2 linked regions of the Lytechinus pictus genome follow. The protein of the gene in region 1 interacts with the protein of each later gene in a pairwise test. Links are inferred from orthologs where the notes say so. Each region holds a gene or a part of one and is shown on either strand. Other genes may lie near its edges.

Region 1 (17,796 bases):
TTCAAGGTAACATTTTGTCCTTGTTTTGCGTGAAAATAGGGGGGTAAATTTCACAAAATGTCCTTGAAATTGACCGCAATAGGGGGTTACTTGCATTTGTGGTAACGGTCATACGCGTCCCCCTCTGTGGGTGAGTGACCCCACTGTGCCTTTTAGCATATGATTCCATTTATACAGTCCAAACTCTCTTATCCAGACATGTTGGGACCAGCAGCAATCTTGATAATTAAGAGATTTATCCGGATCTGGAAGACCCAATGTTAAATACATGCAGCTGCCTCCATATGGTAGCTACACGTAATCTATTGTAGTGGGCGTACACAGACAGTATTCACTGCAGTGTCAGTGCAAATTATAGGCATTTTTACGAAAATGAAATCAATTGGTTAATACCCAAACTCTTGGATAATTTACCTGCTGAAATGATCGAGGTATACATCGAGCATACCTCAAAAGAGAATGACTTGATGAAACTAAGTTTTAAAATTGGATCATCGCGGCGAGCATCGCAGCTTCGCAAAGTCAGCCATTGTTATGACTGTAGGCTCAAACATGATAGATGGCGCTGTCCGTATCGAGGCCTAGCGCTAGCTAGTGACACATGTGTTGTTTTTTTCATGAAAAAAAAGAGAACATGATTAAATGGTTGTGCTGTGCCCTGATTTCCTGGAAAATTATCCTTTCTAATTTCTTTTGCTGATTTGGGTAAGATATTTTCATAAAATATAGGGTGTTTGTAGGTAGACCATCTTGGAAAATGTATGTAATGAAAGTGAGTTTGCTTAGGAATTTTGAGTTTAGATTGAAATCTCATTTCCCCAAGGCCACGTACTAGATTGAAAAAAAAAAGAAATCTCTGCAAGTGTGCGTCGGGATAATAGAGAGATCCAGATAAGGGGAGGCTAGATAAGGGGAGGCCGGATAAGAGAGGTCGGGCTGTATCTGATTAATCCTTGGAATCATTTTATTTCAAATACTTATTCTGTAAAATATCATGTTAGATGGAAACACAAGGTTATACTTCCTGGCGATATAATACAGAATAATAAACAAAATTTTGGGCCATTAAATATAAATTCTAGTTGTGGTAATTAAAGCTATGAAAATGAATTTAAACATAATCCAACAAAATGACAACCAAAGTATTTGTATGAACCCAATGATTATGCAAGAAATGAGTTAAGCATGGCTGTGTATCATTTAGAGGGAACCATTTCTAACAAAAATAATACAACATGTTCTAACTTGTGCTGTGTTGCAAATTTTCAGCATATTCTGGATTCACTCTGTATTCCATTATTTCCCAATGTCTGGTTAGCTAAACTAAATGATGTCAGAACTTAAATCATCCATATCTACATCCATATCTTTCAAAGCCTTTCATTTACTGAGTATGGCTTCAAGATATCAATAATGAAGAAATGATATGTGAGTTTATACCTGTAGGATTGCAGGAGCCATGACCGATCCATACATGTATCTTGTTTCCCAGTGAGATGAGAGACCTTCTCCACCCTGCAAATAAGAGAAAAATTAACTGCATCACAACGTACAGGGATACAAATAAAAGTTTCAATGCTCATGAATAAAGTCCAAAATACACTGCATCAGGGTAATTGGATTTTAAATTTGATTGAGGGACGGGGGGGGGGGGGGGGGGGGTGATCAACATTTTAAAAACATGAAAGGTACGTTTTAATTTTATAAATAAGGGTATTGCGTAGTTACATGACCAAAACATCTTTTCTATACTCTTGGTTTTTTTTCTTTTCCTTCATGTGTGTGTTGGTTCCCCTGCAATCACTTGAAAATTTATTGAGGGACAATTGCTTCCTGTGGTTGAATCATGTAATTTCTGTTTTCTTAAAACAGTAGCATCTGCCATAAGAGCCCACTGCATTGCAGCAACATAATAGAAAAGATAGGTTTGGGATGTGTATCTCAGAAGTGTGAAGTCTTTTAGAAAAGACACTCATCAAATATTTCCCAAATTTTCAAAGGAAGAACTCATTGTACATAAGTCATTATTTTCTTACCAAATTTTCAAGAGGAACACCTCTTTCTTCCTCTTCAAAGCATCCAAAATGAGCCTGAGATGCAGCCACAACTGCTGGGGTGTGAAGTCTTGACTGTCCCATAGCATCTACTCTCACTACATCATCCCTGGTCTCACACTGTAGTTCACCTTCTACAGAAAACAAACAACATAATGCAAATGGATATTAACAAAACAAAATATTTCTTCAACTAGTGCTCATCAATAAGTATTCATACACCTCACCTTATAAAGAAAAACTATGTCAGTTATATTTCAAATTATTGTAGGATGCTTATTTTGTCAATTTCTTATGTTTATTTCCTTTAAATTGTGCTTTCTTCAGCTGTTTTACATTTCTGTTCAGTCGAGACTTGAGTTCATTTGCATTTCTTTTCTGCACTGCCCTTGCAGTCTGAACTAAGGTTGAGTTAAATGATATTCAGTTGCCATTCATCCTTCTCCACATTGAATTCCATTCTTCTGATTCTCTTTTGTCATCTTCATTCCTTTTCTATTCAGGTGTTCCACTCATTACATTCCTCACCTGACTCCTTAGTTTCTATTCCCATATAATCACCCAGACATCTTCATCATCTTCATCTCCTCATTGGTTTATCTTATGAATTGAGTTCTTACATTTTAGTTTGATCCTTCCATTCTCTTTCGTTTTGTTGGTTGTTATTTCTAATTTAAATATTTTTGTAAATTATACTATGATTCTGAGTTGAGCTGGGGCAAATTAGCCCACATATTAAATTAGAGCACAACCAGACTTCTTCGGTTTCTGTTCAATTGATTTGCATCCTCTACAGTTTCACTTATTTTCCCTTTGGCTGATTGATTTCTGTTTGCTGCTGTGAACTTATATCATTTCTACCCCTGACTACACTTATAATTTTACACCTTACAACTAGTGGCAGCGGTGGGATGAGAACCCACCCCATCAAAACACAGTACATTATTGTTTTATTTCCACCCCCCCCCCCCCCTCTCTCTTTCATTTCATATCAATCATCTGATAATTGTGTTTATTTATAAGCTAAAAATATTTATCTTTTCTCATTTTTTAATCCTCATAAAAGATCCAGGTGTACATTATGTGATGTACACTTTCAACATCAGTTATGGAAATTCAGTGAAGACCATCAACTCTCCATGCTCTGCCCCACCCCATCCCCTTAAAAATGAATCAATAAGATGACAAGAAAGCAGCAGTTTCAAACAATATGTGGGGATGTGCCTGTATACAATTTTTTTACAGACGGTCTCTAAGTTGCATATAGCTAATTTACTAAGAGTAAATGTAACTTACCAAATACACTGCATTCTTGAAACTGGTCAAAAAGACTTGTAGAAAATCCAAGGACATGAAATACCTCATGCAAGGCAAGCTGAATTGGACAGAAATGCAAGCCCATTTGGAAATTTTATTAATTTGAGGTAATTGAAATTATTAATTAGGGTATAACCCATTTATCCATAATCAAACATACCACATATAACAATACTTCAGCACTTCACAAATGATTTACATTTAACTGAAAGACTATTTATTAAAGAAACTACTAATGCACTTCAAAGGATGCCATGAACACTGTTCATTATACGCTCTAACTTAAAAAAATGGAGAAAATCAGTAGAAAGTCAAAACAGGCATCACTATCATGTGAGATGTTTTACGAAGTCATTTGTTCAAGCAATCAACATTATGTCTGTGACATCACACTTCCATTAAAGTGCCATTTAGATATTTCCTCAAAGCTATACCAGAGGTATATTCTAATGTTGCTATCCAAATTGTTAATTGCCATTACATGAATGTGTTTAAATGGAGTAAATTTGTACAAACTTGTGCAATCTAAGGCTCATCTACATACTACATGTAACTATTAAGTCAACTTTTCAATTGAATTAGAAATAGGGAGCATAGCAAGACCTTTGCAATGAATTGAAATATATTTTAGGCAAAAAAATTAATCTAAAGTCTATCGATTGATTATATGTTGGCTTCTTACAGCACAAATTACATATTGATTAACTATAACGGTAATTAAAACTGATTGATCAATTGTAAATCTGCATTAGATATTAACTTTCATCATTATTTGCAATCCATAACAAACACCTTCTTGCAACACTCCTAATGAAAATCAATTTGTATGACTTACCAGGGTAAACTTATCTTGATCATATTCTCCACTCAGTAGAGGGTTGGGACAAAAATTGATCACTCCAGCAATAGGTCTGAGAAACTGATCCTGCTTGCAGTAGGAGGCATACGCAAACACATCCTATCAATAAAATCAAGGGTAAAAAAAAACATTATCAAAATATTTCTCCACTGTTAAAAAATTAAAAATGAGCCTCATTGATACAATATTCCTTCTTGCTTCCCCCTTTAATCAAGCTGGGAAATTATTTATTGCATTTAATTATGCCATCATACCAATCAGATGAACCTTTTCAGTGAATTACTGAATGCATTGTTTATGCATCTGTTACATTTATTGACATTTGAAAGTCAGTATTGCTTCATTTAAAATTATATCTATTGAAATATCATAATATTCATTTAAGTCTAATAAAGTGAGAGTACATTTATCATGGATATATAGTACGGAAAGTGTCCTAGAAACAGTTCATAAGATGCCTGAACAATGACTCACCCCTGAATCACAACGCTCAGTATGCTCAGCCTTAACATAGATCACGATATCAGAATTAGGAATGCCGGATCCTTCCTCATAATGGGTGACTGAAGGCTCTGGGTTAACAGCATCCCATGTCCACAGACCACCTAGATGATCAGCAGGAATCTGTCAACAAATAAACAATAAACATGTAAATGTCAATAAAACTGAACTGTGGTTCTTAAATACAGTAAAGCAGTATTAATGCAATATTTTGTATTTACTACAGGCCTGGTTAATTGATTAACAATGTTCAAATATTTACAGAAATTTAATCTATGCACTGGATGCATATATGAACAAAATAGAAAATCATTTTCACTTTCAACTTAAGGATCGATCCTAAATTTTATTTGATTGATCATCATATACATGTATGTCAAAGAATTCTTTTGGAGAGCAAAATCCTTACCTCAAAATTATCTAGACACTGCTCTCTATAATTTGGTGAAATTTCTGCACACCTGAAATAATACAAATTTACAATAATATGAGTTGATTATTATAAATAGAATACCATTAAGAAAAGCATCATTACAGGCCTTAAATTTCAACATTTTCAAAGATAAAGCAACTTTTCTAAAATGTATATTTCGATATTACACCACAAAACAAATGTAAAAATTGGAAATGGGCACATAAATATCCCAGGCCTTTGATTAAACTAACATGGGCCTATTACATAAAAAAGAGTTGCTTACTTTGCCATTGAGTTGTAGCTTTCATAGAATCTTTAATTTTGATTGGCTGTTGAGCAGTGTTGCCATGGTAGTTACCATTAATTTGCAAATTTACCATAAAATTAACTATTATGCAACAGCCAACAGGACTCATGTCACAAGCCTCACCCTCCCTTCCACATGCCCCCCCCCCACACACACAAACAAATGGTATCTAACAATTACTTCTCTATGCGGGTTAAAATATAAGCAATCATCACCAATATGACCAAAAGTAAAAATCAAAACTTCAAGTAGTACACTTTCTGCCTTATTACCTTGAGGTAACATTCTAGAAACATATCATTTATATTACTATATATACAAATATAAAATATATGCCTACTGACTGATCCTACAGTACATATTTCTGGAAAAATAAACAGATGTTCACTCAATGGCACATTCATCACGATACATGTAGTTCCTAATGAAACTCCTCTAGATGATGATACTTTGTATTGAGTCAAATGTCATCTACATTTTTTTAGAGCAAGGGACTTACTTTCCATCATTCTGTCCACCATTATATGTAGTTCTACAAGCTGTTTCAGATCTATCAATTACCATTGGGCCTTCAACAGGAAAAACTGGTTAGATACAATGAATAAATACAAATCAAGAATAGAAAACATATCTTTAAGAATTCAGACACAGTATAAGAGTGAACAATTGATATGATTTTATTTGTGCCTTATCAATAATTTTGTCACCTGAAAGTTCAAATTCATATGCACTGCAGAAGTGTACGAATTCTATTTTCAGAGGTTATATTATATCAAGTGTAGTTTTAACTTCTTCATCAATATTTTTTTAAATGTCATCCCTATTTGTTACATAAAGTTTAACTTTAAAAAATGCTGAATAAAAATCACCATAAATAGCAACCACTTAGAAATGTGTATGCATAGTACTGATTAAGCAAAATCAAAATAAGCCAAAGTATCTGCCCAAAATAAGAACTTATCAAATATTAAGAAAAAGCAGAATTATGTTGGCTCACGAGGGGAGTTTCAATACACTACTGATTCATAAATTAGTAAATTTCTTGGTTATGTTCATTCCTGGATTCCTTTACCCTAGAAAAGTAAATGCACTTCAATTCTTCAAATCCAGTTGGTACACATTTCTTGTTTCTACAGCTCACGAGCATCTGACAATCTTTGAGGTTGTCAAGAACCAACTTTTTTTAAACAATATGCATAAATTTGAATGGTGGCATTGTTTCTCTATCCCCATACCTGACAGCAGTTTTTGAATAACAGATGTTGCACCAGCCATGATGGTCTCAAGCTTCTCGACCTGCACTGAGTCTTTAAGATGTTCCACATTCTGAACAAAAGTCTTCACTCTGATAGGCTGGTAGATATCTCCTTCCAATGACCTTTTTGATTTTGCACTTACACCAACTGTTTAGAAAATTTACAGAAGGTAAGGACAGGTAAAGACTAAAGAAGTTACTTTTAACATTGGTTTATATTCTGAGGTTAATTTTTCTATTACTCAAGTTATTTGGGTTAAGTGTGTGGAGTCACTGAACTTAAAAAAAACCCTAATAATTAATTTCTGATAATTGATATAGGCCTAACTGGGAGTTGTGGCATGCGCCTGTAATCCAAGCTGTGTGGAAGTTACAAATTGATGCAGAGGTTTGAGCCCTGGTCACGTCTTTCGGAGGGTGACGTTAAAGGTCGGTCCCAGACGTAAATAATCTGATTGATACACGTCTGACAAAACTCAAATACACACACACACACACACTAAAATGTATGTTTGTACATGTACAGGTACAAAACAACAAAAAACACACACTATGGATAGTCCTCATAGACTCTCAACAGATCATGTCCAACATTAATTTTGAATGATTCACAGAACATTATAATTAACTTTCAACCAGAATAAAACCATGAAAGTGTTTGACCTAGCACAATAACTTTTCACTTTGTCACACCTCTACTAACAGTAGAGGCACACGGCCAATATTGGAGACTGTCTCCAATGTGGGAGATTATCTCCAATATCAGAGACTTTTGTAAAGAATTTGGGTATCCAATTTCAGAGACAGTCTCCAGTTTTGGAGTCCAATTTCCTTTGTTTACATTTGCTGCAAAAGGATTACCTTGGCGGCAAATAAAAATGTGATTTGCAGGCTTCTTTGATTCAGACCCTCAGTGTTTCCTAGAATGTGTTCTCTTTCTTCCCCCTGTGCACCACAGTAATGACACCAAAACCCAGCTCCACACACTTATTTTATATTTCATTCGCAACCTTCACACAACCTGCCGAAAACTCCTCAGCAACTTCACCAGCTCTAACAACTCTTAGGAAGTGTCTACATTTTTCAACTGTTACCAGCGATCTCCGACCTTAACGGAGGAAGGATACAAGAGAGAGATAAGCAGATTCCTCATGAAAAATTACCCCTTTTCACCGTCTACTTTAAATATTCACCGTCAACTTTTGAATTGATAAGGATTTTTGTTGTCAATCACACACAAAACAAATGGGCTTCTGACCTCAGTGAGACAAAATTTTAGGTGGAAAAAATCATGCTTTTGTTGGTGTTGTTTCTTTTGTCCTTTTGCAAAGCAAGTCTCCAATGTGGGAGATTGTCTCCCCTATTGGAGAGAGTCTCCCATATTGGCCGTGCGCCTCTACTGACTAAGAACACTTACATGTAGTACCTACACAATTTATATTTGCATCATTTGGCATGAAAAATAAAGAAGTACAAATGTCCTCCTTTACCTGAAAAAATGAAAAATTCTTCCTCATGATTTCACAAGATATTTATAAATAAAAAAGCATAGATAATTGTGCCTGCACTCTCTAGCATTGTCCAATAATTATTATTTATGAAAAATTGCTTTTAACCAAATCTTAAACTTTTTCTGACATCCAGAATGAAAATACTATGTTCACTTGTTCAGATATTAATAAGTAACTGGGTCTGGGTAGAGATAGACCTAGATCTAGACCTTGATCTGGAAGATTCTAGATAGGCCTATATAATTTTTGACCAAAAATCAATTCTAAAGACTAAACTGCATTGTGCAGTTGTGAGTAGTGAGGCCATTACATCAATTGTTTTTTTCACCAATTTGAGTCAGATTCTTTAATGAATATACATGTAAAGTAACTATGTCTATTGGACAATAGACTAGTGCAGATGTCAAGTTTGTGGTCATTTGAATTCTTTTACAACAGGGCACTGCGCTATACTCACCAGGAACCCGATAGTTTAGAAGAGTTGTCTCAATGTTTTGATGCTTTTGAACTTCATCAAATATACAACGGCTTGAATTTGGAGCAGATGATGGAGATGCAGCAAGAATTTTCATGCATATTTGTAGAAAAACTAAACTTAAAGTTATCAATATCAGAGAGAGTCTAGTTAATTTTGTACTTGAGTTCTTGCAAGTCTTAATCTTTTTCAATTTCATATCCATTGTCCCTGTGCACTGTGTTTCCTAGCTGACTATCCTGTCTTGAATTCAGCGTCACCCCAAATTTCAGCCTTCTCACTCAGTCTCAGTCAGTGACAATGTAGGATAATCGACTGGCTTGACATGACAAGGATATCTTCTTCTTGTCTATTACCACTGAACTTTACCATCGGATCGCGACTGTCGGGTTGCAGGCATAGATACGTCGGAGGTCGAGTCCATGTCCGCGTCCACCGAAAGCGCACCGATATTTATGGTAACGGTCTCTCGATGAACTCGGGTCGGGAATCTCCGGCGGTAAGCTGCACTTGGTCTTGGTATCGCTTCACTCTCTCTGGTACATTTTCGGAGGTAAGTAGGATGGGGGGCCGGGGTCGGGTGTCCGGACACTTTATATTTTTGAAGCCTTCTTTTTTGTCTTTGGATTACACTAAAAATATGAATTCAATACTTATTAATCATCTTCTCTTTTGTTCTTTATAATATTTCCTAACATTTTGTACTAAAAATTGATGAAACTTCGCTTGTAATTTTTTCCAAATGACTTTCTAAGTCTAAAAATGACTTTCTATGTCTAAAATTGATCGTCCGGACACACAACCTGTCCGGACACACAACAACTGGGTATACGGTATGTAGTCTTAATAGCAAACCGAGATTGCTGAGTGAAATTTGGAATCAATAATCGTACAGTTTTTATTGAAATACTACATACCTAAATTTATATTGATAAATATCTTACTATAAACATAACATTATTTTTCGAAACAATTTTGGAAGTAAAACCATTAAAATATTTTTCTTTTTATTCATATCGATCAGATATGGCTTTAAAAAAAGACTATTTAATACCATGCGCGATTACGTTTTGTACAACAGCTTGTGTTGAAGCTAGGACGTTGAAGGATCATGCGTACGTGTCGATCGGTACGTGACTTTACACTCGTACGTCGTACTCGTACTCGTGTGTGATTAAAAATCTCACGTATTTTACCTCGGACTGCTGCACTGTCGGGAAACTTTCATTGAAAAAATGCCACTTTTTGAGGGTCTCAGCGTTGGGGTAGAGAAGACAGCTGCTATCTTTGACATAGGTGCTGCATATACAAAGTGAGATTTTGATATATTTTGTATTCTGATGTTAAGAAACTTGAATATATGTGTTTTGGGAGTGGGACTGCATTGACTCTGTCTCAGTCAGACTCAGACTGACGATTGACGGTGATCGGAACAACCGCCGCGCCGGGCTATGCCGCGACGGACGGCTCGCGTCGATGCCTCATCGACGCGGTCGACTCTAGCTCTCGCCGATAAATGGGCGTGTCTATTGCCTTGGGAATAAACTGAGTTAAGCCTAGATCTAGTTCTAAGCTTGTAACCGATTCCATTCGATTTCACCACAATCGGCAATCACTTGCCGATCTTCGATCATGCCCCTTGGCTTGAAGGAAAAAATCGAAAATAAAAAATCGGCGTAGATCTGGTTACAGTGCGTGATCGCTCAGAACATATTTCAAGATTGTTTTTGAGGTGCTAGCTATTTACAGGTCGCATTATTCAGGGAGAAAGTCGCGGTATTATCTATGGCAATGTTTAAGGGGATAGATATCTTCTCTTCCAACTCATGGTGATAGCGGATGCCGCCGTGAACTTTGAAAGGTCGTATTACCGACGGAGCTCACTGCGTTACTCTCTTACATCGTTTATGATTATATACATTTTATTTTCAACCTCGTGGTGATAGCGGATGCCGCCGTGAACTTTGAAAGGTCGTATTACCGACGGAGCTCACTGCGCTACTCTCTTACCCCCTTTATAATGATATAAATCTTCTCTTCAACCTCGTGGTGATAGCGGACACCGCCATTAACTTTTAAAGACTGTACTATTGACGGAGCTTATTGCGTTGCTCTCTTACATCGTTTATGATGATATTCATTTTATTTTCAACCTCGTGGTGATAGCGGAAGCCGCCGTGAACTTTGAAAGGTCGTATTACCGACGGAGCTCACTACGCTACTCTCTTACATCGTTTATAATGATATAAATCTTCTCTTCAACCTCGTGGTGATAGCGGACCCCGCCAGAAACTTTTAAAGACTGTACTATTGACGGAGCTTATTGCGTTACTCTCTTACATCATTTATGATGATATTCATTTTATTTTCAACCTCGTGGTGATAGCGGAAGCCGCCGTGAACTTTGTAAGGTCGTATTACCGACGGAGCTCACTGCGCTACTCTCTTACATCGTTTATAATGATATAAATCTTCTCTTCAACCTCGTGGTGATAGCGGACCCCGCCAGAAACTTTTAAAGACTGTACTATTGACGGAGCTTATTGCGTTACTCTCTTACATCGTTTATGATGATATACATTTTATTTTCAACCTCGTGGTGATAGCGGATGCCGCCGTGAACTTTGAAAGGTCGTACTATTGACGGAGCTCATTGCGTTACTCTCTTACATCGTTTATGATGATTTACATTTTATTTTCAACCTCGTGGTGATAGCGGACCCCGCCGTGAACTTTTAAAGATCGTACTATTGACGGAGCTTATTGCGTTGCTCTCTTACATCGTTTATGATGATATTCATTTTATTTTCAACCTCGTGGTGATAGCGGAAGCCGCCGTGAACTTTGAAAGGTCGTATTACCGACGGAGCTCACTGCGCTACTCTCTTACATCGTTTATAATGATATAAATCTTCTCTTCAACCTCGTGGTGATAGCGGACCCCGCCAGAAACTTTTAAAGACTGTACTATTGACGGAGCTTATTGCGTTACTCTCTTACATCATTTATGATGATATTCATTTTATTTTCAACCTCGTGGTGATAGCGGATGCCGCCGTGAACTTTGAAAGGTCGTATTACCGACGGAGCTCACTGCGCTACTCTCTTACATCGTTTATAATGATATAAATCTTCTCTTCAACCTCGTGGTGATAGCGGACCCCGCCAGAAACTTTTAAAGACTGTACTATTGACGGAGCTTATTGCGTTACTCTCTTACATCGTTTATGATGATATACATTTTATTTTCAACCTCGTGGTGATAGCGGATGCCGCCGTGAACTTTGAAAGGTCGTACTATTGACGGAGCTCATTGCGTTACTCTCTTACATCGTTTATGATGATTTACATTTTATTTTCAACCTCGTGGTGATAGCGGACCCCGCCGTGAACTTTTAAAGATCGTGCTACTGACGGAGCTTATTGCGTTACTCTCTTACATCGTTTATGATGATATACATTTTATTTTCAACCTCGTGGTGATAGCGGATGCCGCCGTGAACTTTGAAAGGTCGTACTATTGACGGAGCTCATTGCGTTACTCTCTTACATCGTTTATGATGATTTACATTTTATTTTCAACCTCGTGGTGATAGCGGACCCCGCCGTGAACTTTGAAAGGTCGTACTATTGACGGAGCTCATTGCGTTACTCTCTTACATCGTTTATGATGATTTACATTTTATTTTCAACCTCGTGGTGATAGCGGACCCCGCCGTGAACTTTTAAAGATCGTGCTACTGACGGAGCTTATTGCGTTACTCTCTTACATCGTTTATGATGATATTCATTTTATTTTCAACCTCGTGGTGATAGCGGAAGCCGCCGTGAACTTTGAAAGGTCGTATTACCGACGGAGCTCACTGCGCTACTCTCTTACATCGTTTATAATGATATAAATCTTCTCTTCAACCTCGTGGTGATAGCGGACCCCGCCAGAAACTTTTAAAGACTGTACTATTGACGGAGCTTATTGCGTTACTCTCTTACATCGTTTATGATGATATACATTTTATTTTCAACCTCGTGGTGATAGCGGATGCCGCCGTGAACTTTGAAAGGTCGTACTATTGACGGAGCTCATTGCGTTACTCTCTTACATCGTTTATGATGATTTACATTTTATTTTCAACCTCGTGGTGATAGCGGACCCCGCCGTGAACGTTTAAAGATCGTGCTACTGACGGAGCTTATTGCGTTACTCTCTTACATCGTTTATGATGATATACATTTTATTTTCAACCTCGTGGTGATAGCGGATGCCGCCGTGAACTTTGAAAGGTCGTATTACCGACGGAGCTCATTTCGTTACTCTCTTACATCGTTTATGATGATTTACATTTTATTTTCAACCTCGTGGTGATAGCGGACCCCGCCGTGAACTTTGAAAGGTCGTACTATTGACGGAGCTCATTGCGTTACTCTCTTACATCGTTTATGATGATTTACATTTTATTTTCAACCTCGTGGTGATGGCGGACCCCGCCGTGAACTTTTAAAGATCGTGCTACTGACGGAGCTTATTGCGTTACTCTCTTACAACGTTTATGATGATATTCATTTTATTTTCAACCTCGTGGTGATAGCGGACCCCGCCGTGAACTTTGAAAGGTCGTACTATTGACGGAGCTCATTGCGTTACTCTCTTACATCGTTTATGATGATTTACATTTTATTTTCAACCTCGTGGTGATAGCGGACCCCGCCGTGAACTTTTAAAGATCGTGCTACTGACGGAGCTTATTGCGTTACTCTTACATCGTTTATGATGATATTCATTTTATTTTCAACCTCGTGGTGATAGCGGAAGCCGCCGTGAACTTTGAAAGGTCGTATTACCGACGGAGCTCACTGCGCTACTCTCTTACCCCCTTTATGATGATAGACATCTTCTCTTCAACCTCGTGGTGATAGCGGACCCCGCCGTGAACTTCAAATTGATTTGAAAACGCTAGCTACCCAAAACATTTTAATAACATATTTCAAATCATCGTGCGTGCTTGCGTCGTCTACTTCATTTTAATTGCACTTGCGACTTTAAGATGATGCGTCGTAAGAGATCATTCCAATAATTCTAAATCGCTAGCACCTAAAAATACTTCTAAAAGATGTCCCGCCGATCGTTCATTAACCTGTGATCTATGAGAAATATTTTCATTTTATTTTCCTTTGCGCCTTTGCTCGGAAGATGCGTCTTTCGTTTATCTTTCTAATAAAAATCACTCGGTTTATTTTAAAGCAATAACACCTCAAAACCCCTGGCTTTAAAACATGTTCCAAACGATCGCGCATGTTGGCGACTTCCATTCCAATGCATTCGTCTTTGTGACTTTGTCAGGAAGATGCGCGCGACCGCGAACAACATTTTGATGTATTCCTTTGTTTTTAAACATCGCCGATTCGATTTTCGATTCGATTTCGATTTTAGAAGCTTAACTGCCGATCCGATTTTCGATCTGATTTTTGATCCGATTTACAACATTATCTAGTTCTATGTCAAATGAAGTTGGAGACAGTGTTCTCCTTCTTCTTCTGGAAACAGTATTACCAGTAGAGGCGCACGGCCAATATTGGAGACTGTCTCCAATGTGGGAGATTATCTCCAATATCAGAGACTTTTGTAAAGAATTTGGGTATCCAATTTCAGAGACAGTCTCCAGTTTTGGATACCAATTTCCTTTGTTTACATTTGCTGCAAAAGGATTACCTTGGCGGCAAATAAAAATGTGATTAGCAGATTCCTCATGAAAAATTACCCCTTTTCACCGTCTACTTTAAAAATTCACCATCTACTTTTGTTTTGATAAGGATTTTTGTTGTCAATCACACACAAAACAAATGGGCTTCTGACCTCAGTGAGACAAAATTTTGGGTGGAAAAAATCATGCTTTTGTTGGTGTTGTTTCTTTTGTCCTTTTGCAAAGCAAGTCTCCAATGTGGGAGATTGTCTCCCCTATTGGAGAGAGTCTCCCATATTGGCCGTGCGCCTCTACTGATTACAGTCCACCGTCTGCACGTCTGGTGACTGGTGTATACTATTATTACCGGTACTATTGTCGTATGGTGAGACTACCAGTAGGTATGTGACAAAAAAAATGAAAATCATCAAATATGAATAAATTTGGTATCACTTGAAAGCTCTTAAAAAGACCTTTAAAATGATACCAAGAACTTTAATTTTCATCAAGAAATTATAATGTTATTCCAGTTTAAGTCGCACATATTCATCCAAATTTGTGGTCATTGTCTTAATGTAAAGTCAATGGAGTACAGCACCGATTTTTGTGACCATTTTGTGACCATTTTGAACCCAAGTCTTCAACAGGCTCTAACTTCTTTGTTTTTTAGCCCTATGAAGTAATTTAGGTATCAATGAAAAGGTGAGAGAAGGCTCAATTGATGTGCATCAATTCATCTTGTAATCTTTCTTATTCTGTTTAAAATAATTTCTTCTAATTAATTCTAATTAATTATGCAAACAGAAAATCACAATTACTCGCCTCTTTATTTTGCCAAATGAAGGTGATTATGATAGATAATTAATATAATTTAGTTGGCATCAAAACATCATCATGTAGATAATTTCCTAATAAATTTGTCTAAAGTATTGTTTTTGTAATTTCTAATGTATTTCATTGTTTTTCTGATATAAATTACAAGCTCTTTTTCAACTTAGTATTGTAATTTTGTATGTACGGGGGTCCTTTTTTACATATAAAAAATTTCTTTTGTACTTTGTATGACCAAATAAAAATATGTGTGTTTTTTTCTGATGTATTTGATTGTTTCACCAATTCCTTATGTATTCTATTGTTTCAACAATTTGTTATAATATGTAGCTTTTGATTTGAGAGACAATGGACATGTGATTACATTTTTTTAGAAGGAATGAGCAGCTGAGTGTAAAATATGTATGTAGAATTGTATGCAATTTATTTCAAGTATCAAGAAGGACGAAAATGAAGTTTTAATATATTCTATCAGTTGTCAATTTCTTAGATTTGTATACATACATTGTATTACAAAGGCCCTGTTTGAGCTCTCTTTTTAAAGAAAAATAAATTCAAATTATTAGTCGAAGCCAAAAGAAAAGGAAAAGAGTGGTCTATTTCTTTTAAAACAAAACAAAAAACAACCAGTAAAAATATATAACAAAGCTTTAAACAACAACAAAACAGACATCAAAGCTCCAAACAAGCACTAAAAACAAGAGAAACAAAAGTGACACAAAAACTTGTACCAATCCCATCCCCATTTTCCAATTCAAAACACAACCCCCACCTGCACCCCTAAAAAAAGAAAAGTGAATAAAAAAATAAATAGTACAATTAATAATAAAGAAAACATAAATACAGGAGTTAGACCCATCTGGAAATGAAATATCCTTTCCTCTGAGTTTTCATGTATTTTCTCATAAGAGTGAAAAAATTACAACAACAAAAAATAAACAACATCTAGTTCGTGCATTTTAATAAAAAAATCACATTTAAGATATTCTCCTTTCAAAAGCAAATCCAGTCTCCAAATATTGAAATATGACCAAAAAAAAATATTTAAAAAATATATAAAAAAAGAAACTAAAAAATAAACATAATTTTTGCATTTTAATTAAAAAGTCAACATTTATGATATTCCCCTTTCAAAAGCAAATCCAGTCTCAAAATAATGAAACATGATTGAAAAGTTTCAAAATATTTTTTTTTCTACAAAAGAAAAAAAAAAACACTATAGATTTTGCATTTTAATTTAATAAGTCAACATTAATATTCCACTTCCAAAATAATCCAGTTTCCAAATGATAAAACATGATTGAACAATCAAAGTAAAACATGTTCATGTTGACTCTATAACCTTAGGAGGAAAGAATGTTTTTGTGACAAAATGTATATATTTAAATCAATATTAAATCAATTAAATCAATATCAGAATAACAATCTACGGTATAATGACAGACGTTTTCAGAAAAAGGCACAATATTATCAAGTGAACAATTTAGATCCAGTTCAATCCAGCATGAACGACTCACTATCGACCACTCCCGTCACCAAGCCCTCCGCATCGGGTACCGGTAGCTTGACTGCCGAAAGACCGTCGGGAGCCCACCGCATCGGGCAGCTCGACTGCTGAGAGACCGGCTGTGACAAGGGTAGCTCGCTTCGCTTATATCTGGACTGCTCCACGATAGAATCTTTTGATTTGACATTTTTTGTAGATTTGAATATATTCTAAAACAATTTAGATACATAATTGGATCGTAGTTCTACTTACCATAAAAAAATTTCGATCATTTGCGCATCCAAAAATTTGATGAACTTTCAAGCTCCGATATCCACACTTCACAGGCGAGTATCCACATTGAAACTTATATGTACAGAAAGAGCACATTTTCAACTGTCTGTATCAAGGCACGAGATTGCATCAACTATGTGCGCATGTGCATGAAACCCCATTTTCGATGAGCCGCCCAGACAGAGGCGATGCCACTTGCAGCAAAACCCGCGCGAAAACCGTGCAGCCAAAACCAGCGCTCGCGATGCGCCCGTATTCGCACATACCTACTACCAGTACCACATATCGACCACCTCTTTTGAAACCGACCACCTTGCGCGCGTTAAAATTATTGCGTATTACAAACGATACGCGCGGGAGAGTAGGCGCAGTGTCCATAGAAACAGTATGAATCGATTTTACGAGAAAAAAGGAAGGAACAAAAAGTAAAAATTTACTAGAATTAATCAAAATTGTATTGACCAGACCCAAACCCCGCTGAAAAACCAAGAAATCCGATAGGAAACCGCTTAAGAACAAATACCCGTCGTCAATCGTCGAATCATGTGCCGGAGCTCGCAGTGGAAGTAGTGAGACGATCATTTAGCATGTTGACATCATAGAACTGATTTGGAAGAGTAAAAATATTTCGCCACCGCGACAAGAATCGGCCGTAAACTTAATGTATCGCGGGTGGTCGGTTTCAAAAGACGGGTGCAAATAAGCAAATGTAAAATCGTCGTATTCGTTGTTCGTCGATATGTACGCGGATTGAATCGGAGTCGCCGAGCGAAACATGGGAATCTGATCTGCTCAATTTTCTGCACAAATGAG
Region 2 (16,843 bases), on another chromosome or scaffold:
GAGGATTCACAAATGAACTTATTCATATAAAAAAGTAAAATATACTGTGTATACGATATAAAGAGTTCTACAAAGGTATTCTCCAAGTAGGATGAGGTACTTCTCCCCTCCGAACGTAAAGGGGTCAACAAGAAGAGCTTAGAATATAACTCCTCTTGGTAAGCGGGATGAAAACAAATGCCAGTTCTTTCGCTGACACAAGTCCAAGCTGGCCTAAGCTGAGGGCAGCAGCAGGAAAAGTCCGGTAATAGATCAAAATTCTTGAGAATGTCTCCACACTTGGCTTGTCTTGACACAAAGCAGGTCTCCAGAGTCGTCCGTCTTTCAGAGGCCCCTCTTCTAAGATTCCTGCTTGGACGGCGCATCAAAGTCTCCAACCAATTCTAAGAACAGAAGAAAAATAGGAAAACCAAATTAAATATCTTGTACAAGGTTATACCTACACAAAAATTCTGATTAAAAAATGCAGATAATATAAACGGATAACAATTTTCGTAAAATTTCATTAAGACCATGAGCTTGCAGGAGAAAAATAACTAGTTCTCAGGGCATATATATAACTGCATTCTTCTTCCTCACATTATTTTTCTGCTACAGTACAAACATAAATATTGTTAAAACTTTTTTTATTTCAATGAGAATCATACCCAACACAAATAAAAATGTTTTTGATCTACTTTAGAACAAAAACAAGATTTCAAAACACAAGATCAGACTTGCAAATATTCAAAATGTCTGCTACACAGGCCAGAGTGTGTAGTGTGTTATATGTATAAAAGACAGAGATACTGTACAACACCAAATTAGTTCGTTTTACGTGAGCAAATGGGTGGTTGACTGTCCAACACTTGTACCGTTGCACACGTACCGTCCATAATGTACCGTTGTATGGTCAAGAACAAGGTGACAGTACTATAAAATTTGGGATTCAATGCATTGTACTTAATAAATGCAGGTACAATACATTACGTTTTACTGGCTAAATGCGCATTGCTGCTGCAGATCAGATGCCAGATTTTGCTTTTTACTTTCAATAACCCCTTCTTATTTTCATAGATTTACATTGGAAAATTTATTGTTCCTATTTTCCCTAACTTCCTAGGCTTTGTACAATGCGAATAGCGAATATTCTTATTCGTGCAATGGTGCGACATTTCGCATACGGTGAAAGAATAGACACTTAATTCAACTTGGTTACACCTCGTTGAATAGAGCATCTTTCGTTCACCTTACGCGAAATCTTGAACCATCGCACTCATGCCTATTTGCTTTTTGTATGTTTACCTGGTACATCCTCTTCTTCTTCATCAATAGTATCAGGTTTATCTGCCTTGCCACCTGTCTCTTCAATAGGGATACCATCACCAGGCTTTCCAAAACTTGAACTATCCATGCCCTGCAGAGGTGGAAAAATTAGAATCAGTCACAGCGGTATTGAAATATTAGAGATTACTGTAAATCTACTTCAAATTTGAGAATATCAGTAGTAGTGACTTGTAAGTTACCATGGATAACCTACTTTTTGAAACAGGGTCTGTGTTGGGTTCATGACATTTGCTCCGGCGACAATTGCCCCGATGGAAAATCTGCATGTCAAGCCAAACATAAAACCAAACCTCAACAAGTGGAATGCCTCTGGCCGTCTCACCTGCATCACGCGATTCAATATAGCAGCAGTGCTGATTTTGAAAACTACTATAACTCGCACAAGATGTTCAGTGATACTTGGTTACTCTTATTTCCACGTTTTATGAACTAGACCAATACACTTATAGAGATATGATGGCAATTAAAAAAATACCCCCAACGTGGCCAAAGTTCTTTGACCTTACATGACCTTTGACCTTGATCATGTGACCTGAAACTCGCACAGGATGTTCAGTGATACTTGATTACTATTATGTCCAAGTTTTATGAACTAGACCAACACACTTTCAAATTTATGGCTGTAATTCAACAAATACCCCAATTTGGCCAAAGTTCATTGACCCTAAATGACCTTTGACCTTGATCATGTGACCTGAAACTTGCACAGGATGTTCAGTAATACTTGATTACTATTATGTCCAAGTTTCATGAATCAGATCCATAAACTTTCAAAGTTATGATGGTAATTCAACAGATACCCCCAATTCGGCCAAAGTTCATTGACCCTAAATGACCTTTGACCTTAGTCATGTGACGTGAAACTCATGCAGGATGTTCAGTGATACTTGATTAACCTTATGTATAAGTTTCATGAACTAGGTCCATATATTTTCTAAGTTATGATGACATTTCAAAAACTTAACCTTAGGTTAAGATTTTGATGTTGATTCCCCCAACATGGTCTAAGTTCATTGACCCTAAATGACCTTTGACCTTAGTCATGTGACATGAAACTCAGGCAGGATGTTCAGTAATACTTGATTAACCTTATGGCCAAGTTTCATGAACTAGGTCCATATACTTTCTAAGTTATGCTGTCATTTCAAAAACTTAACCTCAGGTTAAGATTTGGTGTTGACGCCGCCGTCGCCGCCGCCGTCGGAAAAGCGGCGCCTATAGTCTCACTCTGCTATGCAGGTGAGACAAAAACTAAATAAACCCTAATCCTTTTCTTTATATTATTCCAAACCAAAAACTATATTACATTCCTAACTGTACCCCTATGTCCTCTAAGATATCAAGACCAGGGCAAATGTTGCAGGAGCAAATGTCGTGTGACCCTATGTTGACTTAATCAATTGGGCTTACCAATTGATTCATGATACTGACCAATCACATTTCAGAATTTTGGTAGCTCATTACAATGACTTGTAAGTTACCAGTGATAGCAAGATTCGTGAAATAGGAACAACGTTGACAAGTTGCACTTACCAATTAATTTCATGATCATAGTGACAGTGACCAACGAAATTTCAGAATTTCATAACACGGGTTGTGTCATTGATAGAAAGGTTTGTGAAACAGGGGTGACGCTGACAAGTTGGGCTTACCAACTGATTCATGATACTACATGACCAATCAAATTTCAGTAGTTCATAACAAGGACTTCCAAGTTATCATCGATAGCAAGCTTTGAGATACAGGAACCATATCGACAAGAAGAGGTTTGACTTGCCAATTGATTTGGGATACTGACGGTGACCAATCAAATTTCAGAATTTCAAAAGTGGGTAAATTGCCACTAATAATGTGATTTGACATCCATATTGAATTCAAAGAGATTGGAATTATCAGATTTCATAATTCCAGCAGCTAATAACAATGACTTGTAAGTTGCTATTGATAAAATTTAATTCGAGGACCATGGAAGAGATTGGGCTTCGACATTGATAATTGATTTATGGTGCTGACGGTCACCAATCAAAAATTTCATAATTTCAGTAGCTTATAACAATAACTTGCAAGTTGCTACTGATAATGAAATTGATTTGAGGTGCATGCTGACTGGAAGAGATTGGACTTACCAATTGGTTCATGATACTAGGAAGCATATCTGTAAGCTGCTTGTTCTCTGCATGCCCACTGATTGCAAACGTGTTGGCTGCTAATGATGCCTGTACTTTAGGGTTGTTGAAATGAATCACAGTTCCGTCATCTTTGATCATATTAACCTGTTGGGGAAGATTTGAAAAAGAGCATCTGGAGGAATAATAGAACATTGTGGCCAGTTTAAGGTGTGCTTTATTATCCATCAACTATCTTTCCAAATGGTATCACGGAGGCTTTCACTCAAACCTCCAGAGCTCCACTTAAGTAGTCGTCTGGAGCTTCCGTCAAGGTTAAATGATGTGAATTATATGTGTAGTGATTTTTTTTCTCCCAAATGTCTTTTCTTAAAGGACAAGTCCACCCCAACAAACAATTGATTTGAATAAAAAGAGAAAAATTCAACAAGCATAACACTGAAAATTTCATCAAAATCGGATGTAAAATAAGAAAGTTATGACATTTTAAATTTTCGCTTCATTTCACAAAACAGTTATATGCACATCTTGGTCGGTATGCAAATGAGGGAGCTGATGACATCACTCACTCACTATTTCTTTTGTATTCTATTATATGAAATATGAAATATTTTGATTTTCTCGTCATTGTCATGTGAAATGAAGTTTCATTCCTCACTGAACACGTGGAATTCCATTATTTTAACATTTTGTGCTTCAGGCAAGGAGGTCCTAATCGTCAAATTCGTAAAAATTGAAATATTGTATCATTCAAACAATAAAAAACAAAAGAAATAGTGAGTGAGTGACATCATCGACTCTCTCATTTAGATGTAACTGGCTCGTTCATATAACTATTTTGTTAAAAATAAGCGAAACTTTGAAATGTCATAACTTTCTTATTTTACATCCGATTTTGATGAAATTTTTAGCATTGTGCTTGTCTGATTTTTCTCTATTGATTCAAATCAACATTTTTCTGAGGTGGACTTGACCTTTAATGAGAATTTGCAATTTTATCTTGTGAATAGGCTAGCTCCCTCACGGTGTAATGTTTTCAAATTTTTTTTTGGCAAAGTCTTTTTAAACATTACCCTTCATAGGGTAATTTTCAAAATTCTTTAATAGCGGCTTTTCACACTCCTGTGTGCTGAAATAAAGAAAAACAAAAATAATTTTTCATGTAGGCCTAAAACTTTCCTTTTTGGTCAAAGGGGAAGAATATTACTTGAAATTAAATGAACATATACTTACCTCTTCAATACCAGGAATATTATTTACAGCTAATTTCTTTAATGATCCTTGTAATTTCTTGTCGTCTGTGGTTGTGGATTTGTGGATGACTTTCCTTTTTCTCCTGGCGGTGCCTTTGCCACCTATTCTGACTTCCTTTTGGATCTTTGACAACTTATCAGCATTCATCTTGACTAAATGTGGTGAAGAACTGAAGCTCCTAAATTTGCCAACTCCTTGTATCTAATATGCAGAGTATGGAAAGTAAAAAACGTGATTTCAGTAATGTGCGTATGCTTGTAGTCAATGTTCATTGACCCTAATGACCTTGGTCATGTGCTAAAAACTCACACTAGTATAACAGCGATATTCAGGGACTCGATTTTAAGGCACGCGAGAGCGATCGCGAGCCTTAATCCATTTTAGGTAACGCGCCTCGCGATCGCTGAGCTGCGCGGAAATGCCTTAGGTCGCCCTCGAAATCACCCAAAATCATGCTTTCGGGGGCGACATAAAATCTGAATGTCGCCACCGAAATTATTGCCGAGTGATAACAACTCAACGGCCCACTAGTGCCATATGCTCGAGCTCCGCTTACCATTTAAAAATCCAAAATCCACACTCAAAATCATGAATAAGCCTTGAAAATAGCAAGCGCAGTTTCAAATTCCAAAGTTGCATCTTTTTTATTCTGTACCACCTATTTCCATACACATGGTACCAGGTATGGAAAAAAAAAATCAACGGTCGGGAAACAGTTGCATGTATCCCTGGTCCATTATGACTACCACCATGTGCAATTTCGAATGCACATGTTTCCCCTACAGATATCACAATTCGAATTACACAGAAAATAAATCCCTGGTCTAGTAACCTCGCATTGGTGAGTTGTCATTCGGCTTTGCTTTTCAAAACAGCCTATTAAAGGAGAATGAAACCCTTGAAAACAGCTGAATCCATATCAAAGAGAAAAATCAAAGAAACATTTTGTTGAAAGTTTGAGGAAGATTGAATGAGTAATAAGAAAGTTATGAGCATTTGAATATTGAGATCACTAATGCCATGTAGATCCTCCCATTGGCAATGCGACCAAGATCTGTGATGTCACACACGTACAACTCCCTCATTGCTTTAGTACTTATTTCACTTATATTCTCACTTTTATAGAATCTATCACAAGGTGAGGTGTTCTCTTTATGAGAGGACAAGTACAGAGGTTTCACAACATTATATCATTGATGAATCGTTTTTCATATGATTAGAATGAGCAAAAAGAGATGTTTTGGGGTATATTTTCAGTGTCCAAAAGGGGAGAGTTGTTCATCTGTGATATCATAGATCTTGGTTGCGTTGCCAATGGGAGGATCTCCATAGCATTAGTGATCTTGACATTCAAATGCTCATAACTCTTCTATTGTTAGTCCTATTTTACTCAAACTTTTGTTGATCTTATTCTTTGATTTTTCTGCTTTCACAAAAGCTAACTTGCTCCAAGAGTTTCATTCTCCTTTAACATCCAAAATAAGTTACCTTATTTATTAATTATAACTAAAAAATCATGTTTTCTTTTTCTAGGGGATGAGGTAAATATCAGACAATAAATCATCAAACAAAGCTCCATCTATTTTACAAGGCCAGCGGCAGGCTCACGCACGCACGCATTGACCCTTGTACTAGCTAGCCAGTCTGAGCTCTGTCTCTCTAGCTCTGGGGGACAATTTGCTCAGTAAAGGCCTCAATGATGGTGATTTTCTGTTTCAGACAGAGTTTACATTTCAGGTATATTATTCAAAACTGCCAATAAAGTTTAATGATTTCTTCATTGTCATGTATATTTAAGTTCTTAATGAATACATTCTCACCAAATTTAGACTCCCCCATAGAGAAATGCAATTTTCATGGAGATCTGCGTTTTCAAAGAACTTCACGAAAAGTTAGGGTATGTGTAGCCAGGCGGCTTCTTGAGAGTAAAAATCATTTACTAACGTAGCCGTAGGCTTACTCTCAATGAAGCCAGGGAGTCCTTCCTATTCACCTACACGAAGGACCCCAAAACCAGTAGAGGCGCACTGCCAATATTGGAGACTATCTCCAATGTGGGAGATTATCTCCAATATCAGAGACTTTTGTAAAGAATTTTGGTATCCAATTTAGAGACAGTCTCCAGTTTTAGAGTCCAATTTCCTTTGTTTACATTTGCTGCAAAAGGATTACCTTGGCGGCAAATAAAAATGTGGTAAGCAGATTCCTCATGAAAAATTACCCCTTTTCACTGTCTACTTTTGTTTTTGATAAGGATTTTTGTTGTCAATCACACACAAAACAAATGGGCTTCTGACCTCAGTGAGACAAAATTTTGGGTAGAAAAAATCATGCTTTTGTTGGTGTTGTTTCTTTTGTCCTTTTGCAAAGCAAGTCTCCAAGTCCAATGTGGGAGATCGTCTCCCATATTGGCCGTGCGACTCTACTGAAAACCTGAAACGGACGCGAGCGTCGCGTAACGTTGGGGAAGTACAATAAGAAACAAGATGGCGGCGTAAACATCGGGCAAGTCTCTTCCATCTTTTCACAATATTTTTTCACTTTTTTGATGAATTCTGGTTTAAAAATAACGAGAGCGTAGTCGTAGAAATGTCGGAAATGAAGTTTTATCCCAGACGCGTGCGTCGGGTAACGTTGGCGAAGAACAATAGAAAACAAGAAAGTAGCATTCAATTTAAATAAGAGCCCCCGAAATTTGACAAAAAATTTAAAATGGAGCCCTCAAAAATTTTTTTTTTCCCTTTCTTAGTACGAGATAGATCTACATGACTGTCTAGAGTGGGCCCACGCTCCCGAGTCATGCCATTCCATGGCGATATGCGCTGCATACCTGTGCACTACATGACGTGCATACATCAAACACTGCCTGCTCTGGGCCGGGGTGATCGGCAGGGTCATTATGCGACGATGCGCTCACAAGCCCTGCAACTGCGCTGTTCTGTAAAACTTCAAGATCATAAATGCAAACTCGCCCAAGTCACATTGCATTGGCATATTACAATTACAAACCGAAAAGTTTCTACTTTCTACAAATGACAAATTAAAATCTTGGCAGGGTATAGATTGAGCTTTAAAAGCATATACAGAATAAGTTTAAATTTCATCATAAAAGTACCTACAAATATTGATAATAAGTCATTCAAATAAGATTATAACTCACCGGTATATAGACCACGAGGCTGCATACACCAATATAAAATGGAAGAATGTGACGTCATCAGACTTTAACTATTTCTTCAATTGAGTTTTACAGTTTCGTCAATCATTCATTATTATTTATGGCAAAGGGTTTTAAATCATTAAAAAATTATTTACAATTTTAATTAATATATCAAACAATATTTTTGTATTTTTAATTGCAAATGTAATAAAAATTGTTCATACAAATAAACTTTTTGAAAAAGCCTACATGAATATTAATGCAATGAATATTCATGTTGTAATCAGAATCTGAGATATTCCATCCCGGAAGTAGATCTTGTAGAAGATGATATATATACGAAATATAAAGCCAATTCAAAATCTATTTTCTTTAAAAATATATTGCTTTGCGATATGATTATTATTGAAATTACTTAGATAGTATGTAGCATATAGCAGTCCAGCTGCTTTTCGAAAAATATGGTATTCATCTGTGACCTTAAAACTGTAAGTACAATCAATGGAACAGCTGGCGCGCCACCAATACAAAGTAACGCGCGAAATCTTTCCTGCAGCTGATTCAAAGATCCTTATCGTAAAAAAAAAATCGCCTATTACGTGATTCGCCCGATCGGTAATTGCAGAATCGAGCCTTAAAACGCTTTAAAAAAACCGTTTGTTCCAGATATGAAAGCTTTCTTCGAATTTTCTGTTCTTCTACAGTTTATTTGGCATTTCTTCTTTAAAAAAAAAGTAATACTGAAAATGTCCCCATGTAAGTTCGGCAAAGACCTGAGGCAGCACCTGAGAATAGAGTCTTGTTAGAGTGACGGGCTATATTTGAGGGGAAGTTCACTTTGACAAAAATTTTATATTCTACAAATAGCAGAAAAACAATAAATAAATATTGCCGAAGGTTTGAGAAAAATATCAAAGAATAAAAAAGGTTATTGGAATTTTAGATTTGATTTCTTGTGACGCAATAATGCGAGGCTTGCGAGCAGATTTCATATTGGGTGAAAGCATATCAATGAAATGTCATTGTCTCAGAAAATCGAAAATAAAAAAAAACACGGTTTTCTACGGCTTGGTATATCAATAGACAAATCATTTCACATCCGTTCCTAAAAAATGCACGAACCATCAAAAAATTGAAATCTATTCATTTTATATACGGGGCATCTGCTCGACAAATCCAAAACTATATAACTGAATAATAAATGAATTAGTTTCCTGGAACCTTCACCAATATTTTTTATTGTTTGTTCTGCCGGCTATTTTACAACAACCTATATAGCTAGTTTCTTCAGGGTGTACTTCGAACTTTAATGTGTGACGTCATAATGTGCGAGCATCAAGTTTCAATGGAACTTGAGATGAATACAAATATTTTTCTCATAGAAAGGAAAAAATGTTGTGATGATACATTTACCACTATGAATAAAATCCCTTCTTTTTTAAATGACTTTTAAGTGGGCGAATTTAAAGTATGTATCAAAGATAAAAAAATTCAAAAATCACAACTCCGTCCGCGTATTCTTTGATAATGTTCACCCTTCATCCCCTTCACCAATATTTTTCTGATTTTATAATAAAACCAATCCCCCGGACAAATCCCCTTCAGAAGATATTTACTTCCCATATAGCCCGGGGGGGGCCACTTACATTGACGAGTGGATACCATGCGCGACCAAGAAAACACGTAAAAAGGATGTCTTTTTCAAGATAGGGCACGTTACGTACGTAACGTGATTAGGGTGTCAAAAACACAAAAATAATGAAAAAAGGGTATCTATTTCGCTAGGAAAGCTATCGTGTTTAGGGTCACATTTGCGGGGATGATCAAACAAAATTAAAATGTTGTATAAAGGATGTCCTTTTTGCCCCAACACTACGTGTTTAGAGTCCCGATTTGCGCGAGGTGAGGAAGGTGGGGCCATACTAAACCAAATGGTGTGTAAATTAGATAAAACCGACGACCGCCGGACCCGTGACACAACAATAAAATATCGCTGTATACTTGTTTAGGGGTTCATTTCAGGGAATACTTGCCAAGAGTATAGTTTTGTTTCCAATGCTTGTTAAGGGTAGGGTTTCAGACGCCAATATACTTGTTAAGGGGTGCATTTTCAGAACATGGAAAATACGTGTTTAGGGTGCTTTTCGAGACCCCGTGGTCGCGCATGGTATCCACTTGTCAATGGAAGTGGCCCCCCCGGGCATATAGCCTGGGCCAGGCAATGCATGTCAAATAGTTGGTTCGAAGGTCAAACAGACGGCTTAGAATAAAAAAGGTCTATATAAAGATCATGAGGCTAACGTGCGGCCCCTCAAATCTATAGACTTTGAGCAAGTTTCAAAAGGCCAAGATTTAAAATCTCTGATTCTGTATAGTTCTGAATAGATTCCCGGAATAGTTTAAATAAAAGTCAAAGTAAAGAAAGAGAGAGAAAAGAAGAGTGGTGAAAATCCATAAAGAATTATTTTAATTTGTGGTGTCACAGACGAGAAACCATTTAAATAAGGCCCCAACTACACTGAATTTCCTCATGATATTTGAAAGGGATACCGAAGGATCGCGGCCCATAGGCCTACCAAGTGGCGGACCGTGACCCGCGGAGGAGACAATGATTGGAGGGGCACTTGTTTGTGAACAATGCTGTGCCCCTCCAATGCTTTGTCTCCTCCGGGTCACGGTCCGCCACTGCCCCCCTTTTAATTCATTATTTTTTTTTATGTATAGGTATGTTGGCCCTAAAGGCGTCGTAGGGCTATCCTATAGGCCTATTTGTATATATCATCATTGAACACAGGAAAGTACTTGAGTATATACTGACAAGTAGGCCTACAGGTAAAATAGATGCTCAGTCATGAATAATATAGGCATACAATGTTTAATTTAACTTTTTTTTTACTGGGAGTACATCTGCTGTCCGATGCCAAAGCCATCACATTTCCTTTATAAGGTTAATTGTTTTGAGTTCATTATGCTTAGGTCAATCCGTGGTATAGTTTCATCTGGGTCTTCCAATAACATTATTTACATGATGTTAAAACGAAAGCTAGGCCACTAATGAATCATCCAACTTGATTATCTTTTTTATTCAAATTTTTTTTAATGGAATTTATACATGACATGCTATATAGATTTCGGGCCACTGGAGTCTCATTCTTCGACGGATTTTCATCGAATCTTCTGTGAAAGTCTTTCACCCATTTTTTCCCTTCTTCTTTTCTGCTTTTCATTCAAATCTACGTATCGTCGCGTCCGGGCATCGATCTCCCCACTAACTTAAAGGGTATATGGGCGTAAAGGGGCGTAAACGTCCCGATCCTGCGATTATTTTGATCACAAGCAAAATCTTACTTACACGTACCGGTAGGTACGAATTTCGTTCAACAGAGTTATCTGGGGGCGACTCCTTTGTTATTCCTGTAGACGATTCGAGCCCGTACATAAAACGTGCAAAACATTCATTGAAATTTTCAGGAGATCGAGTTTGTTCTATCGAAGACAATTCGTCATTCATTGTAGATCCAGGACAGACTCCCTCCTGAATCTGATATTCACATGTGTGATATCTTGGTCTTGCGACTGGGAGGGAATATTATTTTGACTTCATTGCATTGAAGTCGAAATATTAACGTTTAATTTTGTTGTTGACTTGGTCTTTGTGACGTTTTGTCGGCAAGAAACTACGCCGTGGCGTAGGCGGAGGCTAGGCTCGAGCGCCCGACTCCTAACTTAACTGTTCACGGATCCTTTCTCAGGCACGGCAGGAGTTTGGCAGTGTAGTGACAGTCAAACATATACACACTTCTAGGCCTCTGTCACTGACTCACATACACTCGCTCAGTATCAGAGAGAGCTGCATGCAGCTTATGCTTATTAATTCATGTAATTAGCCTTTTGCTTTGGACAGTGAGTGAGCTAGTAAGAGTAAAGTTAGACCTGTCATTGTCAAAGACAAAGTCAAAGCCTGATTCTGAAGAAAACAGAAGGGGTAACTGTAAGCTGGGGACATCTTTCTGCTTCTTCGAATGTATGACAGTATCGTCGGCAGGTGGTCATCTTGACAAACTCCAACTCGAGTCTTCAATTAAAGTTCAGAGTCGAGTCAACTGAGAAAACTTGTTCAAATCACCAGATCACTCTATCCCAATTAGGAAACGCTAAGCCTGGTTAAAGACGGTTCAGTGGGGAACATTTTTTCTTGAGCAGTCACACACAAAGTCTAGACTACACAAAAATGCTTGGGACGGAAGAAGACAAACCTGGATCAAGTTCTGCTGCTGAAATCGAAGAGGTGGAACAAGAAGATGCCGGGTGAGCTGAGCAGCATTTTTACTTTTCAAAATTGGCAATGGCATGCTTAAAAGTTGGAGTAATTTTATTAAAGATGACTTAAAGATTTTTAGCTGTCTCTTGCATTTATAAATCATCAACAGGTCAAGTTTGGCCTCGTAGTCAAGAAACTTTTATCATGTCTATAATTTTATTTAAAAATTAAATTCTAAAGGTCAAATAGAATGACTAATTATGACAAATCAGTAGGGTCTAATAAATTATTGAACATATACTAACCTCGCAATACATGTGAGTGACAAAATGATGAAGTAGCCAAATTGGACTTTGGTTTCTTGTCGTTTGTTTGGATTGATGCTTGGAGTGATATTTGATATTCAGATTTCATTTGTCAATTGAATTCTGTATGATGAGTGACCTATTACATTATTTTTCTCATTTCAGCCCTGAAGACGTTGATGCTGAAGCCTTAGAATTGATGGGCCAGGGGAAGAGGAATCTTGTGGTTGGTGACCCTCCAGCTGCTGTCCAGTGTTTCCAAGAAGCTTGTGAACTGCTGTACGATTTATCTTATTTCAGTAGATCCCCCCCCCCAAAAAAAAAAAATCAATTAAAAAAACATGGTTTATTTCTTATTTTATCTGAAAGATCATCATTATCTATTAAGCATATTAACATGAGACAAACTGACCTTTTTTGTCTGTCCAAAATTGTCACCTTCTTTCAGTTTTACATCTATAGATCTACATTTAATGATTTTTTTTTAGGAAACAAGTAATTTTTATTGATTGGTCATGTACATTATTCCAAGCCTTATAGCTGGTCTACTTAAAAAGAACAATTCCCTTGGATTGAGAAAATACTTTGATTACTGAATTCAAAGGTTGCAGAATGCACACAAATCAAAATATGAAGGAAAATATTCCTTTGAAATTCAAGAGTTGTGTTATTTTAGAGGTCTGTGATAGAATCCTAGTATTCAATTAATCTAATGATTTTAGTCTTTACTCCATTTCTTGCAGACCTACCCTTATTATTTTATACTAAATCAATTTGATTACATTAATTCTAACATTACAGAGTGAAAGTGTTATTCTTTTTAGTAGATAAATGTAACTACATTTATATCCCATTGTGTACTGAAACTGGGTGGTCCGTCATCGAATCTATGGAAAATGAAGATTTCAGAATCCATTAATTCAATCGTGTATATATCTTGCACATTTAAATTGCAGGTCATCTAAATATGGCGAGACTGCGGAGGAGTGTGGGGATGCGTACTATCAATATGGATGCTCCCTTCTTGAACTAGCGAGCATGGAGAATGGTGTACTTGGCAACGCTCTGCAGGGGGTCCCAGATGATTCAGCCGACTCGGCAGATTCCGACGAAGAAGGAGAAGGAAAGCAAAGTTGCACTGGAAGTAGGGTAGAAAGTGCAGACCAGCTAGAAGGTAAAATGGTTATTGGTATATCTTTATAGAGGATGGCTCAAGTTTATTTTTCATTGGAAATAAAGGACAGCTCATTTGCTATCTTGCATGTACATATATGGAGCATTAAAAATATTTTTAAAAGAAGCCCCGATTAATTCAATCTTTACAATTTAAATAGATAAAATGTTAGATAAAATCAACCCACTCTTTTGAAATAAAGTAATGGATAAATGCAACTGAAAGGAAAAGAGCAATGTGTAGAATTCACCCAAGATTAGATAGATTTGGATAAGTGTAGAATTAGCTGGAGGTGATAGATTACATTCCCTGGTATTTAGATGGTCAGTTTATCAATGGTCATTCACTGGGGATGATTGAATTCTACACTGTCTTGGATCATCCAATTTGAATAGGATGCCATTTGCTTTGTCTATTTAAAAGGAATCTAAAAGAATTTAAATTACAGTAATCTAAAGCGCTTATTGGGTGTGTCATTGACTTGTGAATTCAAGCTAAAGCTTCTTGAAACTATGAGCCATCTGCTTCTTTATTTAAACAATCAGTTGCTTCCATTTAGACTAGAAAATACTCTACTGAACAATAGGTTCAAACTAACAACATTTTTGCATACTTGGACAATTGTTCTCTACATCCAAAGAATTTGTCAAGTATCGTGACTAGTAAATTTATGCAAACTGGATTCTAAATAGTTCATTCATAGAAACAGCTTCATAGAAATGCCTCGTTACAAGGTACAATTACAAAGGATCTTTGTGAATTTTGATAGTCTAGTCTAGTGTACATCTACATTCAAACATTCTTTTGCTTGAATACAAGATTTTCTTGGTTTCTTTGAATGATGAGATCTGTAGTTCATGACCTTGATCTTTTCTTTGCTTGAAGTCATTCAAGCTTTTGTTAACATTCTTGCTTTCTCCTGGGCTTGTGAATTGATGAGTGCAGTTTCACTTTTAGGTGGTTAATACCTCAGTCACATTTGCTCTACGGCGGCCGTACGGCAAGTTGAAAACAGCCGTTTATCCTTTTTTTTGTACCAGCTACATATAGATAGTTTGAATAAAAATGAATAAAACTGCTGTTTTCGACTCGCTGTAAGGCCGCCGTAGGGGAAATGTGACCGAGGTATAAGCATGCAATTCTAGAATCTAACACTAATTTGTCTGATTTCACATCTTTGGGAGTGTTATGCTAAGATTTCTTTGAATGGAATGTACATGTAAGGCTTGCTGGAGAAGTTTGATGTTGAAGATTCAAATTTCTACCATGCATCCAGTACATTTTTTTTATAGATCGTGTATATCTCATTTACTGATCGCAAGCCAGAAATTTGTTTCTATCTAATAGAAATAATAACTGTTAGCTACATTAATGGAGTTATTGTATATTGCCATCTGTCTTCCGATGTTATTAATCATCTTAAGATATCTTTTATCTCGGAATTTGATATTGCCTCATGACTCTATCTGTACAGGTAGTGGCTTTTGGGGAATTTTCTACTTTCAGTTTCAGTACAGTATTAATGCAAGGGTATTTATGTCAATATGATAATTGATAAAAATAGTAATGAACCAGTCATCTTTCCCCTATTGAGAAACGGAAACAAACTCAAATCAGAAATGCATTTGTCAATTTGAGTACTTAGGCCTATAAGTTTTATGCTGAAGCTAAGCACCGAAACAATAGACTTCTAATCTTCTCTGCTAAATCCAAAATTTCTAGGGCAATTGTATTTTAGAAGGTATGATCATTAAGCACAATTCCAAAATAACTTTTCCATTGTCCAAACACTTAAATTATCTCTCCTTCAGCCAAAGAACGAGAAGAAGTGATACAGCAAGTTAAAGATGCCCTGGAGGCTAATATTGAAAGTGAAGAATCGGAGAAGGAAGATAAGGAAAAGGAAGGGGAGGGGGAAGAAGATGAAAAGATGGAAGAGGGTGGGGATAACAAGAAAGAAGAAGCTACAAAGGAGAAAGACAAAAAGAAAGAAGAGGAAGGGGAGAAGAAAGATCAAGAGAAGGTAGTTGAAGAAAAGGATGAAAAAGAAGAAAAGAAGGATGAAAAGAAAGAAGCTGCAAAGAAGGAGAAAGACGAGAAGAAAGAAGAAGAGAAGAAAGATCAAGAGAAGGTAGTTGGAGAAAAGAAGGATGACAAGAAAGATGTAGAAATGGAAGTTGAAGATCAAGATGCAAAGAAAAAAGAATTAAAGCAAAATAAAGAAAAGAAGGATAAAGAAAAATCTGACAAGATGGAGACTGAAAAGAAAGATGCTGAAAAAGTAGATAAGGATGATACTTCAATGGCAGAGAAGAAAGAAGATGAAGCCAAAAGTAAAACTAAAGGTATCAAAGTATTTTCATGAGTTTAAATAAGTGTCTGTGTCAAGTTATGTAATTCACCTCTAACATCAAAATAAATGCATTCTAAATCTTGAAATCTGCTTTGTTTGGATTTGAATTATGTAACCTGTGAACTTGTGAATTAGTTTTATTTGCATGCTTGTGAAATATTGAATTATTTTAGTATACATACAATTTTTGTCTAGCCTGATTAACAGAAATCAGAATTTTGAATCTCTCATGGTGGTGTTTATTGTTTTTGTTCAAAGGTAAATTTTAATGATTATTTTGTTGGATGTGCATTTAAGCATCCCCTTTTCTGCATGAAATAGCTTTGCTTTTTGTTTTCAGTGCTTTGGCCATCTTGTGTCACTTTCTTTGAAGAATAATAGGAATGTCTTTATTTAAAGCCAAATTTCTTTGTCTGGTTTTCACTGCAAACTAACCCATTTCATCAGACTTCTATGAAAATCCGAAACTCGATCGATTAAAAAAAAGAAAGATCATTAATGCCATCTAATTTTGGGGTCATCACTCACCTACAACCTGCCCTCCTCCCCATTCGCAATATATTTCAGGGTTAACAATGGTTTGTATCTCCAAGCCATTGAATGCTTTGTAATTTCCAGTGTCACTGTACCTATGGTAGTACTTAAAATGAAAGAAATTACAATATCCATTACTTTGATATTAATAATCTTTCTTATCAAATAGTGCATTTGTGAACCTGTGATATTTGTGAAGCTTGTGTCATGTTCATTTCATCTTTCTGCTTAGTTTTCATACATTATGTTATATTATTTGAAAAAGAATAATAACTACGGTAATTTTAAAGTAGTAAAAATGTGTTTTATCTCAATGTCTTGAGTATGAATATGTTACATTTTGTGTGTAA

What was found.
Region 2: the proteins of actin-related protein 10-like (region 1) and transcription factor BTF3 homolog 4-like interact in a two-hybrid assay, tested with the Drosophila melanogaster proteins (2 studies listed by BioGRID). The link is inferred for Lytechinus pictus from reciprocal best matches to the Drosophila melanogaster genes Arp10 and bic.

The regions. Positions count from the first base shown.
Region 1 is NC_087251.1:11,804,781-11,822,576, reverse strand, and holds the start of actin-related protein 10-like, read left to right. Parts: upstream 1-9,929; coding exon 9,930-10,006; intron 10,007-17,796. Other genes in the region: ciliated left-right organizer metallopeptidase-like, read right to left, coding at 1,441-1,515, 2,037-2,188, 3,351-3,429, 4,207-4,329, 4,705-4,854, 5,141-5,192, 5,953-6,037, 6,689-6,856 and 1 more.
Region 2 is NC_087255.1:22,428,800-22,445,642, reverse strand, and holds the start of transcription factor BTF3 homolog 4-like, read right to left. Parts: upstream 8,400-16,843; 5' UTR 7,867-8,399; intron 4,908-7,866; 5' UTR 4,854-4,907; coding exon 4,686-4,853; intron 3,600-4,685; coding exon 3,453-3,599; intron 1,397-3,452; coding exon 1,285-1,396; intron 384-1,284; coding exon 340-383; 3' UTR 1-339. Other genes in the region: histone-binding protein N1/N2-like, read left to right, coding at 12,098-12,174, 12,598-12,711, 13,389-13,606, 15,418-15,951.